Coturnix japonica: one gene and its partner. The protein of the gene in region 1 interacts with the protein of each later gene in a pairwise test. Links are inferred from orthologs where the notes say so. Each region holds a gene or a part of one and is shown in the gene's direction. Other genes may lie near its edges.

What was found. The genes of interacting proteins can lie anywhere in the genome.
Region 2: the proteins of YAE1 (region 1) and LTO1 interact in binary tests that used the Homo sapiens proteins (3 or more experiments, as listed by UniProt). The link is inferred for Coturnix japonica from reciprocal best matches to the Homo sapiens genes YAE1 and LTO1.

The regions. Positions count from the first base shown.
Region 1 is NC_029517.1:76,798,779-76,804,938, reverse strand, and holds the start of YAE1 (protein YAE1 homolog), read left to right. Parts: upstream 1-2,330; 5' UTR 2,331-2,431; exon of another isoform or gene 2,432-2,495; intron 2,496-2,556; exon of another isoform or gene 2,557-2,667; intron 2,668-3,807; 5' UTR 3,808-3,901; coding exon 3,902-4,126; intron 4,127-5,058; coding exon 5,059-5,180; intron 5,181-6,160. UniProt on the Homo sapiens protein: The complex LTO1:YAE1 functions as a target specific adapter that probably recruits apo-ABCE1 to the cytosolic iron-sulfur protein assembly (CIA) complex machinery. May be required for biogenesis of the large ribosomal subunit and initiation of translation.
Region 2 is NC_029520.1:7,241,914-7,248,114, forward strand, and holds the start of LTO1 (protein LTO1 homolog), read left to right. Parts: upstream 1-2,805; 5' UTR 2,806-2,894; coding exon 2,895-2,953; intron 2,954-3,026; coding exon 3,027-3,132; intron 3,133-3,155; exon of another isoform or gene 3,156-3,351; intron 3,352-3,691; exon of another isoform or gene 3,692-3,876; intron 3,877-4,163; coding exon 4,164-4,234; intron 4,235-5,255; exon of another isoform or gene 5,256-5,278; coding exon 5,279-5,396; exon of another isoform or gene 5,397-6,201. Other genes in the region: FGF19 (fibroblast growth factor 19), read left to right, coding at 759-1,091. UniProt on the Homo sapiens protein: The complex LTO1:YAE1 functions as a target specific adapter that probably recruits apo-ABCE1 to the cytosolic iron-sulfur protein assembly (CIA) complex machinery. May be required for biogenesis of the large ribosomal subunit and initiation of translation.

The DNA.
Region 1 (6,160 bases):
TTTGAGCTGCAATATTTAAAACCTCATTAAGCTTATGACCTTGCAATTAACTCACTAGCTCACTGTTTTGTCACATTCCTTTTCTGTGGTGGGTGTGGAAGCAAAAGAATTAAGAACATGTCTGTATTATTACTGCACCAGACAGCTGGTAGCAGAGAACCGCATCACCCCTATCATGAAGGAAAAATGCACTGAAGAGTCAAGATTAGAACAGCAACGCTGTCTGCATGTGAGCATGAGTAGGTTGTCTCTGTTTATGTAGGTAGTCTTACCCATGTCCTGTTCTTCAAAATATTCAAGGAAAATAGCCTAGAATCTGACTAACCTCTAGATATCTGGAAAATACAAGCATCTGAGCATATACAGAATGCACATTGGGAGGGATTTACAGATTAAAATTTCTCAGATATATCATACAATACTTGATGAAAATACATATACTTTTTATTAAATATTAATAGTCATTATTCTCCTGACATTTCAATATTCTATTCCTCACCCATTATATTTTAATCTTGTTTACTGCAGAGAACAAGTGAATACTGATTTAACAATGTTCCTGAAATCCGTCTAAATGCCATCCAAAAGATGTAATTTTTTAAAAGGATTAAACTACTTCCAAAATTAGAGCCAATGAGACATTGCTGTGTTGGTTCAATACAATAAACAATGTGATGCCAGAGTAGAGAAGTAATAAAAGTGTGGGATAACTGACAGCGTAATCTCATTGCAAATAGTCTTCTTTCCTGGGCCCTTCAAAAGCCTTAACTCAATTCTGCCTGAGACAGCAGTATACTATAATAGAAATCACTCAACTGAAGATTTGATCATCCTGTCCTGCAGAGTAGCCCATACACAACACAAGTCCTGGCTACAGTAAACAACCACCCTTCAAAAAAGTCTGAAATCCCAAGAGGTCCTTGTGAATTATGAGGAAATCAACCGGTTCCTCCTTTGAGTTGGGTTAGAGGCACTGATGGCTGAAAGATGAGCGTGTGTGATACTGATCTGAATGGCAGCAATCCTTTATCAGAAGCATTATGCACAGTTATAACTGTAAAGGTTTTTACATTCATATACTTTACTTTTGGATATCTCTGCTGGCTGACTGCTTAATGGCAGCACTTAACACTAAGATCAAACTGATAAAAATCCTTCATAGTCTCATAGTCTCGTGCGGGTTGGAAGGGACCTAAAAGATCACCGAGTCCAACCCCCCGGGATTCGGGCCTCTGTGTAGCAGAGCGGCAGTTCTACCACTTGCGCCACAGGGGGGATTCGAACCCAACCCTAAGCTGTTGCAACGCGGCATTTCTACCACTGCGCCACCGGGAAACACAATTCCTAGTCATCTCCAAGAATGCCTTAACAATCCTAAGCTCTGCACAATTGTGTAATGGCCCCCTGAAAACTCCCCCCCACACCCTCCAGGTGAGCAGAGAGTAACTGCTGAGCCAAGCATTTATGGTTCTAAGGTACCTTTGTATGCCAGATATCTGACTGAAATTATCCAGATTTTAATATTAGAAATGGCAATGAATCACAAATCAATTCCTTGTTTATTTTTCACACTGTGGGGGGGGGATAACTCTTCTTATATACATATTCTGCAGAAATGCCAGAACAGTTCTGTAGCCTGTGAAATATTGTTCATGTGTTTTAATCCTCTGGTATGTGTCATTGCAAAACATCACCATAATACCCAGATGTTGCTTTATGTAGAACACACACAGGTTAGGAAAACGCCCCCACTCTGAGGCACTACACCTCACTCTCAAGCCCTGCTAGTAGTCATGTCAAGGCCGTCAGCATACAATTAACTTGTCTTCAGCAAGTACACTTCATAATCCAATAGTGCTGCTCTGTTTACACAATATGAGTCACTAAATTATCTGCTTCTAAAAGAAAGGGATGGGAATATGAGCCTTCATCATTATTCCTCATATGCACAAGGATTTGTCCTAAACAGACGTGTGTAGAATTATCAACCATGGTAAAATTAAGGCATTTAAACTGAGATAATCTGAATATGGGAAACTCACACTGACTCTGAGGTATGACTTATACACCTTTCCTAGAATATCAAGCAGCTGAGGGTAAAGAATAAGGTGATAAGCAAGAAGTAGGGCCGGTGCAGCAGCCCCGAGCAGGAGCACCCACATTCAGTCCTGCCATTACAACCACGCTCGCACTCCCTCCATGGGGCAAGGTCCTCCCTCCCCGGCCCGCCTCCTTGCGGAAGCTGTAAGTCTATGCCCTTACTCAAGATGGCTGCCGGCGTCCTGTGACTCAGACGGACTTGGAAGTCACGGTGCTGCTGATTAAGATGGCGGCTTTTTACGGGCCGCATCCGGGGCAGCGAAGTTAGCGTGCCCTCAGTCAAGATGGCGGCCCCCTGCGAGCGGAACAGCGCCGTGACTCGGCGGCCGTGGTGAGGGCTGAGGGCGGCGGGGACTCAGATGGCGCCGGCGAGGGGGGATTCTGGCTGCCGACAGGTCGGAAGAGGGATAGATCTTCTCGGTCCTGCAGTTTGTGGGGAGCTGCGGCGCCAGCCCGGGCTGTGAAATGGCGGGTTGTGGCCTGGCCGAGGGGCCTCTGCCTGGAGTCCCCCGGGCCAGGCTGTGCCTCCTCCCGTAGGGCCCTCAGGTTCCTCCTGCTGGTCTCCAGGTGTGCCGGGACGTGCTGGCATTGGGGGATTGCGGGCCTTAAATGCTGTTGGTATCTTCTGCAGTCAGTATCACTCTGAAATCTTATCATAGAGAACCAGGTGTACAGCTCTCTCATCTATCCAGCTCACTTTTCTTATGACATACCGAACAGTTTCTTCCTTCCCGCACCTGCTACCTTACACCATTAATTGCTGCATTTTGTTCTCCCTTCTCTGCTCTTTGTGTAGGGGCTATTTGTGAAACTCACTTTGGAGCTAATAAGCTGTCACTTAATAGAGATGGTTTAAGGAAATATAACATCTGGTAGCAAGTGCTGTCTTGCTGAATATCTTGAAAAATAATCTCTCAAGCCTGAGGTACTGTTGTAAAGTTGTATTTACTTGGATGTTTTCACCACTTTTTGATTGGACATTGGGAGGGATAAGCTGATTAAGCAGTCAGTTCACATTAGTGAACTTTGTGTATAAGAAGAACTGCAGTTCTTGGACCAGTTGTTTAACTGCTTTAATGCTTTCCAAAAGACTCTGTGTAATGGTACTGGAAATTCTGGAAGATTTGCTTAAGATAAAAATTGGATATGATGAACCCAGAAGCGTGATTTCACCACACTTCCTTGTATCCACCATTCTGTGGGTTGTAAGAATTTGCTCCAGTTAACTGTGAATGGCCTCTTAAGGTCTTATCAGTTCCTAAGATGAAGTAATCACATTATTTATTCATCTCTTTACATCAGAACTTGCTAACTAATTATTAAAAAAAAAAAAAAAAAAAGTAATATTTTTATTCAGGATTTACAAGCATTAAGCATCTGGCAGAGTTAGGAAACTGAAGATCAAAGGTGCAACTCATCATCAGTTGTCAAGATCACAATATTGCAGGCAATTAGATATGCATATAATTTAATGCACTGCTTAGAAGCTGCATGGGACTATTTGTTGGCTGCTATCAAAATTTTATAGCTCTGGATAAGTGTTTCTGTCTGCTGTTCAAGTTACTAGCAACATATAGAAATGCTAATTTGGTGCACTTCTGTTTGTTGCTGACATAAGAAGCAAAGAAGGGAAGAAATTAGTCTTAAGTTGTCCTTGTAAATCACACAAGGTGCTTTACTGGTAATAATTTCTGTCTCCTTTGACAGATGAGCTCCAGTGAGGAATAGCATCCAGTTTTCACATGGAAATGAATGTACAGGTTGAATAATCATCCCCTGATACGGCTTCTCTTCAGAACTCATGTTTTTTACTTTTATTTCTAATCTGACACTTAGCTGGGAGACTTCTGAGAGTTTCTCAGTATTTGCTTTAGGCCATAAACAAAAGTTAAGTGTCATCACTGCTGCTATGTCCTGGGTACAAGTTGTAGCTAGTCGATCCAATGAGGACATATTTGATGAAGATGCAGATGAGATGTATCCAGTACAGAAAGAATGGAATAACACCATGAAAAAAAGATTGAAGGTATTTCTCTAAGCATGATTTTTATAGTCTTTTAAAATATTTTAGGTTTACCAGTAACATATCTTGCTAAAAATATGGCTGATTTAAATGAGAAAACTAAGAATGGCTGTATGAAAGTTATTGTGGCTTGGTTTCTTCTGAGTGTTAAAAAAAATTTAAGAGGAAGTTACTATCTTCAGTAGCCTGTCAGGACAAAGTAATGTTTTACCAAAAAAGATGTTGACTCCCTCTACACAACTATGTGCATTTCTGAATGGCAGTGCTAAATTCTCATGTAACCTACTTGCTTCATACTTGTAGGTTAATTGATGCTAACAAAGAATAGAGGATATTTGTTGGTGTTTTTTTGTTGGGTTTGTTTGTTTGTTTTTTTAATATTTGGTGTGAACTACTTCAGGTCTGAGTAGTTTTTTGGCTTATTTATTATCTTAGTGAAAAATACATTTTATGAAAGCAGAGAACAAAACAAATACATAAACTTGGGTTTCTCTGACAGATGTTTTCATTCAAACTGGGCCCACTAGGGCTTATCTTGTGGGTGAAGAACATAAATGTATGGTAATGTGATTAGAGGAGAAAGAAATAAATTTCAATTCTCCAAGGAAACTTTGTTAAGGGAGTTGGTCAGCACAAAAGTAAAAGTGCTTTCCTGTAGACAAGTCTTTATTTTCTGACTTAGCTGGAGGTTTGTTTAGAAATGAACTGCATGTTAACAGATCAGCAGCATTAACAGTAAATTATAATGCACTGTAAAAAATGTGTTTTGCTTTAGCAGTGGTGTAGTTGAGTGCAGTGTTCAAATTAAAAAAAAAAAAAAAAAAAAAAACTTGGATTTAAGAGACTAAGTGCTTAAGGTTTTTTATTGTTGTAGAAGTGTTTGTAGGTCCAATTCTGCAGGCTGTGAAAAGTGTGTTTTACCACTTCTGTTATAGGAGGGCTATAGAGATGGTGTTGAGGCTGGGAAAGAGCTTGCAATTCAGGAAGGCTTCAATCAAGGTTATAGACAAGGTGCTGAGCTGATGGTTACGTGTGGTCAATTCAAAGGGACCCTGAAGTAAGTTACAAACCTCTTAAGAGTCTGTCCGCGTGAAAGGTATGTGTGGAAGATGCACGTGCATATGTGGTTGTGCTTGGGTTTTTGTTGTTGTTCATTTTTTAATTTTAAAAGTGCTTTATAAGTCTATCCGAAGCAAGCAGCATGAGAAGTCTTAGCTCAGGTTTTGAATACAGGGAATACAAGTGCAGGAAGGCTTATACTCCCAATGAGCAATGCAGGCAGGCAGGTAATAACAGATAAGGAGAAGGTTGAGGTTCTTCCTTGCCTCAGTCTTTACTGTCAGCTGCTCTTCATACATCCATTGAGTGGATGGATTGGATGGTGGGGACTGGAGGAACAGTCTCCCTCACACTGTTAGTGAACATCAAGTTTGCATCCACTTGAGGAACTTGAACATCCAGATGTGCATGGGTCCCATTGAGATGCATCCCAGAGATCTGAGTGAATAGGCTGATGTAGTTGCCAAGCCACTCTCAGTGATATTTGAAAAGTCATGTCAGTCAGGTGAAGTCCCTGGTGACTGGAATAAAGGCAACGTCATGCCTGTTGTTTAGGAAGGGTAGAAATGACCCAGGGAACTACTGGCTTGTCAGTCCTAGACAGTCTTGAGCAGTGAGTCCAGGTGAACATCATAAGGTTCGATAGAGCCAAGTCTTGCACCTGGGTCATTACAACTTCCACTATCAATACTGCTGGGGGATGAAAGGTTGGTGGGGGGGAGTAGTGGTGGATGTCAAGCTGTACGTGAGCCAGCAGTGTGTCCTTGCAGCCCAGAAAGGCAACTGTATCACCAACAGATTGCGGGAGTTGGTCCTGCCCTTCTACTGTGGTGAGACCTTACCTGAAGTACTGTGTCCAGATGTGGAGCCTTGAGTAAATGAGACACACAAACCTGTTGGAACACATCCAGAGGAGGGATACAAAACTGATCAAGGGATGAAATGCCTCTCGATGGAAGACAGGCTGAAATAGTTTGG
Region 2 (6,201 bases), on another chromosome or scaffold:
GCAATCTGGAAATACCTAAAGTGTGTTCAGAATGCATTAAAAAGTACGGTTTTTAGAGACAGTCCCACTGTCCCACTAAATGAGTAGGGAGCAATCTGGTGGAGGCACAGGGATGCCATCAGCAACCAGTGTGGTTTGTCACATGCGCTTACTCAAGAAGCCTTCTGATTTCATCATCCTCCGAAGGGAGGCTGTCTGCTCGTAGCAGTAAGGACAGCTGACAAGTCAGCCATAATTATACATCACATACTGGTATCTTTCTGAGATATATATTCTGTGTATGGAAGGAAAAATACTGCATAATTTATTTTTGGGGTGGGGGGGGGGGCGGGGGGGGAGGCCCTTTTTTTGATTACCTGTTTAGTTTAAAGAGGGCTTTTAATCAATACTCATATGCATGTATTTAATTGTACTCCGTATTCTTGACAGCCATGAGAAAAGACTGAAAGGTAGCAAATACAATATATATTAAGCATTCACTTATCACTGAAGGCTGAGGCATTGTCAGCAGTCTCCTTTTGCTGACCAGGAGTTCAATCACCTGCAGTGACTGTGCCTGAAACAACACCAGCGCTGCACCAAACGCAGTGCTTGTGGGAAGGTGGTCCTAGATCCTAATGGGAGGTCTCTGCAGTATGTCACAAATGTACTTTTACAAATGCATACCTAAGCAAATAGGCTCTTCTTCACACAATCTTAACTGAATGCAGTGAGTCTGGCAGGCACGTCTGTAACTGGTTTTACTCCTTGCTGTTCAGCTCAGCTATTCCATCGAGGACTGTTCCTTTGAAGAGGAGATTCGTCCAGACGGCTACAACGTGTATAAATCAAAGAAATACGGAATATCGGTGTCTTTGAGCAGCGCCAAACAAAGACAACAATTCAAAGGAAAAGATTTTCTCCCACTGTCTCACTTCTTACCCATGATCAACACTGTGCCAGTGGAGGTGACAGACTTTGGTGAATACAGTGATTACAGCCAGGCTTTTGAGCCAGAGGTCTACTCGTCGCCTCTCGAAACGGACAGCATGGATCCCTTTGGGATCACTTCCAAACTGTCTCCAGTGAAGAGCCCCAGCTTTCAGAAATGACTCTGATTGCACACATGGTTTTAAAGAAATACCACAGAATGTTGCAGGTTTTTAGCTTTCTGTGTAGTGATGTCATGTCTCAGGATGGAGACAGTCTTTCCCATACAATGTGTTGTACCCATAAGAGCAGAGTGCCCAGGTGCCATATTTGAAAGAATCACCACTCCATAGTATACTTGGAAAAGAAAAATTAAATAAGAGCACCTAAAGAAAGTTCCTCCATTCAGAGCTCCTCCATTTGTGTGGTGATGATAAAATATATAGTTTTTGTATATCAAATTCATTACCACATATGTTCACCTGTTGTTTCTGCTCTATAGACATACAGGAAATCTTGCCGTTCACAGGGAAGTTCACAACCTTGTAGACAAACATTTGGAACAAAACACAATTAAGGAACACTGAACAAGTGTGGTTATGTGAACTAAAGTTAGTACTGTTTATTGAGAAGCTGCTGACAAGCTTCTGGGAAAGCTTTCTGTTGAAAGCATACCACTGAAAAACAGTTCTGCTTACATATTGTGCTTTTTCTTCCCTCAGGAAAGAAGGGAAGAAAGGAAAATACTTCTTCCCTCCCCTATTGCTAAGGGATACCTTGGAAAACTGGTGGTTTATTTTAGAAGCTAATTTATGTTCACTAGGGGATCTGCATCATCCAGCATAGACTTGTCTTTAGTGCTAATGGGAATTCAGCACATGGGTAGGAGCGTATACAGAACTAGCATTTGTGTTCATCTGATAGGAATGAGTATTCCAAGTTAGAGTCCAGATATAGGTTCTGCTGTATATACTCATGTATGTTGTTAGCAAATAGAGAGAAAGTCTGGAAATGGATGACGTGTGGGCCACATCGGTTGCAAAGAACATTTCTGTGTTTTACCTTTAACCGTCAGCAACTCTTTTTAAGTCCTTCCAGGCTTGATTCTGCATCAGTTGAAACCATGGAGATACAGTTCAGTGACCCAAATGCTGCAGAACTGAGCTGGCCATGCCGTGTTTCTTGCAGGAAGGGATCATGTGGATCTCATGACCAAAAAGCATATGTCTGGTGTCTTCAGTTCTCTTCTCCCCTTGTGACAGTTTAACAAAGGAATAACCAAAGAGAAACCAAAAGAAGACAAATGTAAGAGTTCAGGGACTCCACTCATTTCCAAAGGCTCGCTTATAATAGAGATTTCTATACAAAAAGCTCTACTGGAAACACTGGTGTTCTTCTGACCTAGCACTTCATTGCCAATGCAATATTTATAATTAATTTATTAAATACATACCTCTGTTTATTTTGTTACTGTTATTTATGCTCAAGATTCTATTTATATACTCTTGAAAGCAGCTTTTTTTTTTTTTTTTTTTTTTTTTTTTTTTTGGTTTTGTGAACTTTTGTAATCATTAAATTGTTAGGAAACCATTTTTAAATCTCCGTTTTAGTGTAACTAGTGTAATACGTACAGTTGCAATAAAAAATCATTAAAAAAGCTACTGTCAGTAGCTTCTGTATTATTTAACATATAATATATTATATAAGGAGATAGCGAGGATCTCTTTTTCCACTCTGGGGAGGTGTGGAGGGCTGTAAATCCTTTATTCAGGCCCTGAGGGTCAGTGCTATCTCCACTCCAACTACTGAAACTGTTTGGAGAACTTGAGTCCCTTGGCACCAACGTTGCTTTGCCGCCCCCTGTTGCTCTGAGGCCGGCGAGGCGCTGGGCCTGTTAATGGAGTGAATAGGCGCCTGCGCACTAAAGCAACGCGATATGGCTCCTCCGGCTCGCCGTCGCCTCCCGTCGTGCTGTGCTCGGCGCAATGGCGGCGCCGTCTTCATCCTATGACATGTTTGATGAGATAGTGATGGCTGAGGACAGGTTGGGAGCCTTCACGGGGCCATGGAAGGGAGGGAGAGCCGCTAAGTGTATAGCCGTGCATCTGTCCTTGCAGGTTTCACGGGGAGGGCTACCAGGAGGGGTACGCTGAGGGAAGCCACGCTGGGGCTGCTGAAGGGCGGAGGTGCGGCTGTCTGCATGGTGCCAGGGTTGGCTCTGAGGTAAGGAGATATCCTCAGTGTGACAGTGGGGAAGAAAGGCTGCAGCTACTACGCTTCACGATGTGAGGATGTGCCCAAATACAGCAGCCGTGGGTGTAGAAATAAAGGGCAAAAAATAAGAACCTGCCTACCTTTAGAAGGGCCTCAGGTGGGCAGGGATCTCCAGCAAGATACCCTCATCTCCACTACCAACCCTTAAATGAGGTCTGGGAAGGCTCACTGTCATAATAAGTAAGCAAAAATACAATTTAGGTGATATTTGAGCTGTCAGCCTATTGTCTGCCTTGGGGAAAATAATACTAACCTGACAAGGGCTTGCTTGATGAAGAATTAAAATAAGATGTTACAAAATATGTCTGTTTTCTAGCACGCCCCTATCTAATAATAATATTAGATACAGTGTGTGCTTGGGCTCAAGCAGAAGATTGGTACTGCACCCATGTGGTAGCACATCACTAATTACACAGAGCAGATTGCTGCAAAGCATCCATGGACCAGCACCCCTAGACCACAGCAGCTTGGTGCAACATGAAACAAACCTGTTGGTGTTTCCACTTACCTGTGGTGTCCAAACGGCTTTGGTGCATGCAGATGAAACCGCCTCGCTTTCTTTTATGTTTGAGTATTTATGGAGATGTGAGCTCCCAAGCACATGTATTTTAACATACACAGCTCCCAGAAGAATAAAGCTCCCAGATGTTCCCACTGTAACATGTAAACACTGGTGGAGGAAGTTCCTTTAGCCTGCAAACAAGTCCAGTTGCGTCTTGTAAATTTGTGTCTTGTAAAAAGTGACAAGTGCATGCACAGATCGAAGTAGAATTTGGCAATAACTCAGTTTCATTACTTTTTTGTTTCAAAGCATGCGTACTGTTTCCTGAGCCTTTCAGTGTAGAAATGCATTTGTATATGCAATGACTTGTTTTCTGAGGAATAAGAGAATGTAGAGCTTTAGTTCTCTATGACTACATTTATATTTAATATGTTTGGTTTTTTTTTTTTCCCTTCATGTCATGCCTAAAAATTCACAGATTGGCAGCTACCTTGGATTTGCACTGACCTGGCAGCATCTGCTCCCAAAATGTACAGATGATAAGAACAGGTAGGGTTTTCAAAGTATGAATCCTATTCCTTTAATAGTTTTTTCAAGTTATGATGTCCAGTTTTGCCTCTTCTTCAGTTTAAAAAAGAGGATACTGAAAAATAGAGGGGTGAGCAGATGGTGTCTGGGATGACATTGCAGTCTGGACCATCTGATGCTGAAAAGAGGATAAGGAAACTTGGTTTCATCAACCTGAAAAAGAGAAGATGGCAATGCCTACTTGTACTGCACAAGGGGAAGTTCTAGAGATGCTTTCCTTGCTGCATCATGCAGTGGTCCCCCAGTTAGCATTTTTTGTTCTTATAGATACAGTCAACCCATCATCCAAGACAGACATTCATGTTAAACCTCTGAGGTCCTCTTCTGAGGGAGCTGTAATTCACCATCAGTAATTAATCATAGCTTGTTTCCCTAAGCCAATTAGACATGCAAGGGAATTAGCTTGTCATAGATAGTTCACGTTGTTGGTGATGGTAGCAATCTTTGCTTTCCATGTCTGATATTTTATGGTCTCTGCATAATTTATTATCTCTGCAACAGAAATACATCTGCTAAACTTCTAGGTGCCCCTCTCTCTTTTTCTAACTTTTCTCTAGTTTTCTATACATGTGCAGGCACATACACTTCCAGATATCAATTATTACTTTCCTTTGGTAGACCTTAAGAGTTTTTTCTGACCAGTTTTGATTAATTTGAACAAAATGCCACCTTGCTTTCAGCTATCTCAATACATGTTCCAGTGAGCTTTCTTTCTGCATTTATTACACATAGTCATCTAGTTGGTAGTTCTACATTTCCTGACTAAATGTCTGTTTTTGGCAGGTAAGTTAAGAGGAAAGCCTTACATTTGATAGTTGTACCAAACTTAGTTTCTGATTATGCTGTAAATTATGCCTTATGAGTTAATTTGAATGAAATAAGGACAGAAGGCTGGATTTTATGCTCTTGATTTTGAAATACTGATACAATTTCCACAGTGACAAATGTAAAAGACTTCTATTGGAGGCTTATTGTCACTTACCATTTTTTGTGGCTTTCTTTCAGTAAAAAGATGAGGGCCCTGGATTCATTAATAGGAATGATACAGAAGTTCCCATATGAAGACCCCACTTACGAAAAGCTTCAAGACGACCTGGAAAAAATCAGAGGGAAATTTAAACAGGTTTGTAGGATTAAGTTGTTATTTTTAGCACAAAATAGTATCGCTTTCTGCAAATATTTCATCTCCTTTTGCAGTCAAAGTAAAAATGCTTTGAGTCAAAAATTCCCCAAACGATAGCAAGTGCAAAATAAATGAATAACATTAAATAAATGGAGAATTGAATGGCTGGTATTTAACAGTGAATTACAAGCAGGACCAGAAGAATAGAAACGGAGGAAACAGTAGTTGTGTTGAATTTCCTTCAGGAAAATGGATGCTTCAAAACACTCTTGTGTATTCTTTTTTAGGTTTGCTCAATGCTAAATATTCGATCTGATTTTAGAGTCAGTACTGAAAGATCTTCACTCACTTTTTGAATATAAAAGCTGAAGATAAACATGGATGAAAAAAGGCGTATTGAATAACAGATAACCTGAAAAGCGTTTGTTTATTTTAAACAAAATCCAGGTAGCAATGAGATGCTAAATAATTAAAGTGGTAAAGAAAAAGCACAAAACATTTGATGGTTTCTTATATTTGTCAAAGTTTTGGTTGGTTTTTTTTTTTAATCTCAAGGCATTTAGTATTACAGAAACACTAAACACCTGTTAAATGGAAGTATTTGATTTGCTCTTCACCAGCCTTGCCTTAAAAGGAAAACACGCATATGCATTCTTAAAATAAGGAAGATTTGCATATGTATGCTTTTTAAAATCTACATATGTAGATCATTCATTTTACACAATGAGTAGGTTTTTTAGATGAAGGAAAATTGAATCAGTTGCCTACAGAGTTTGCAGTAGTGAACACCTGTCTGGATAGAAAG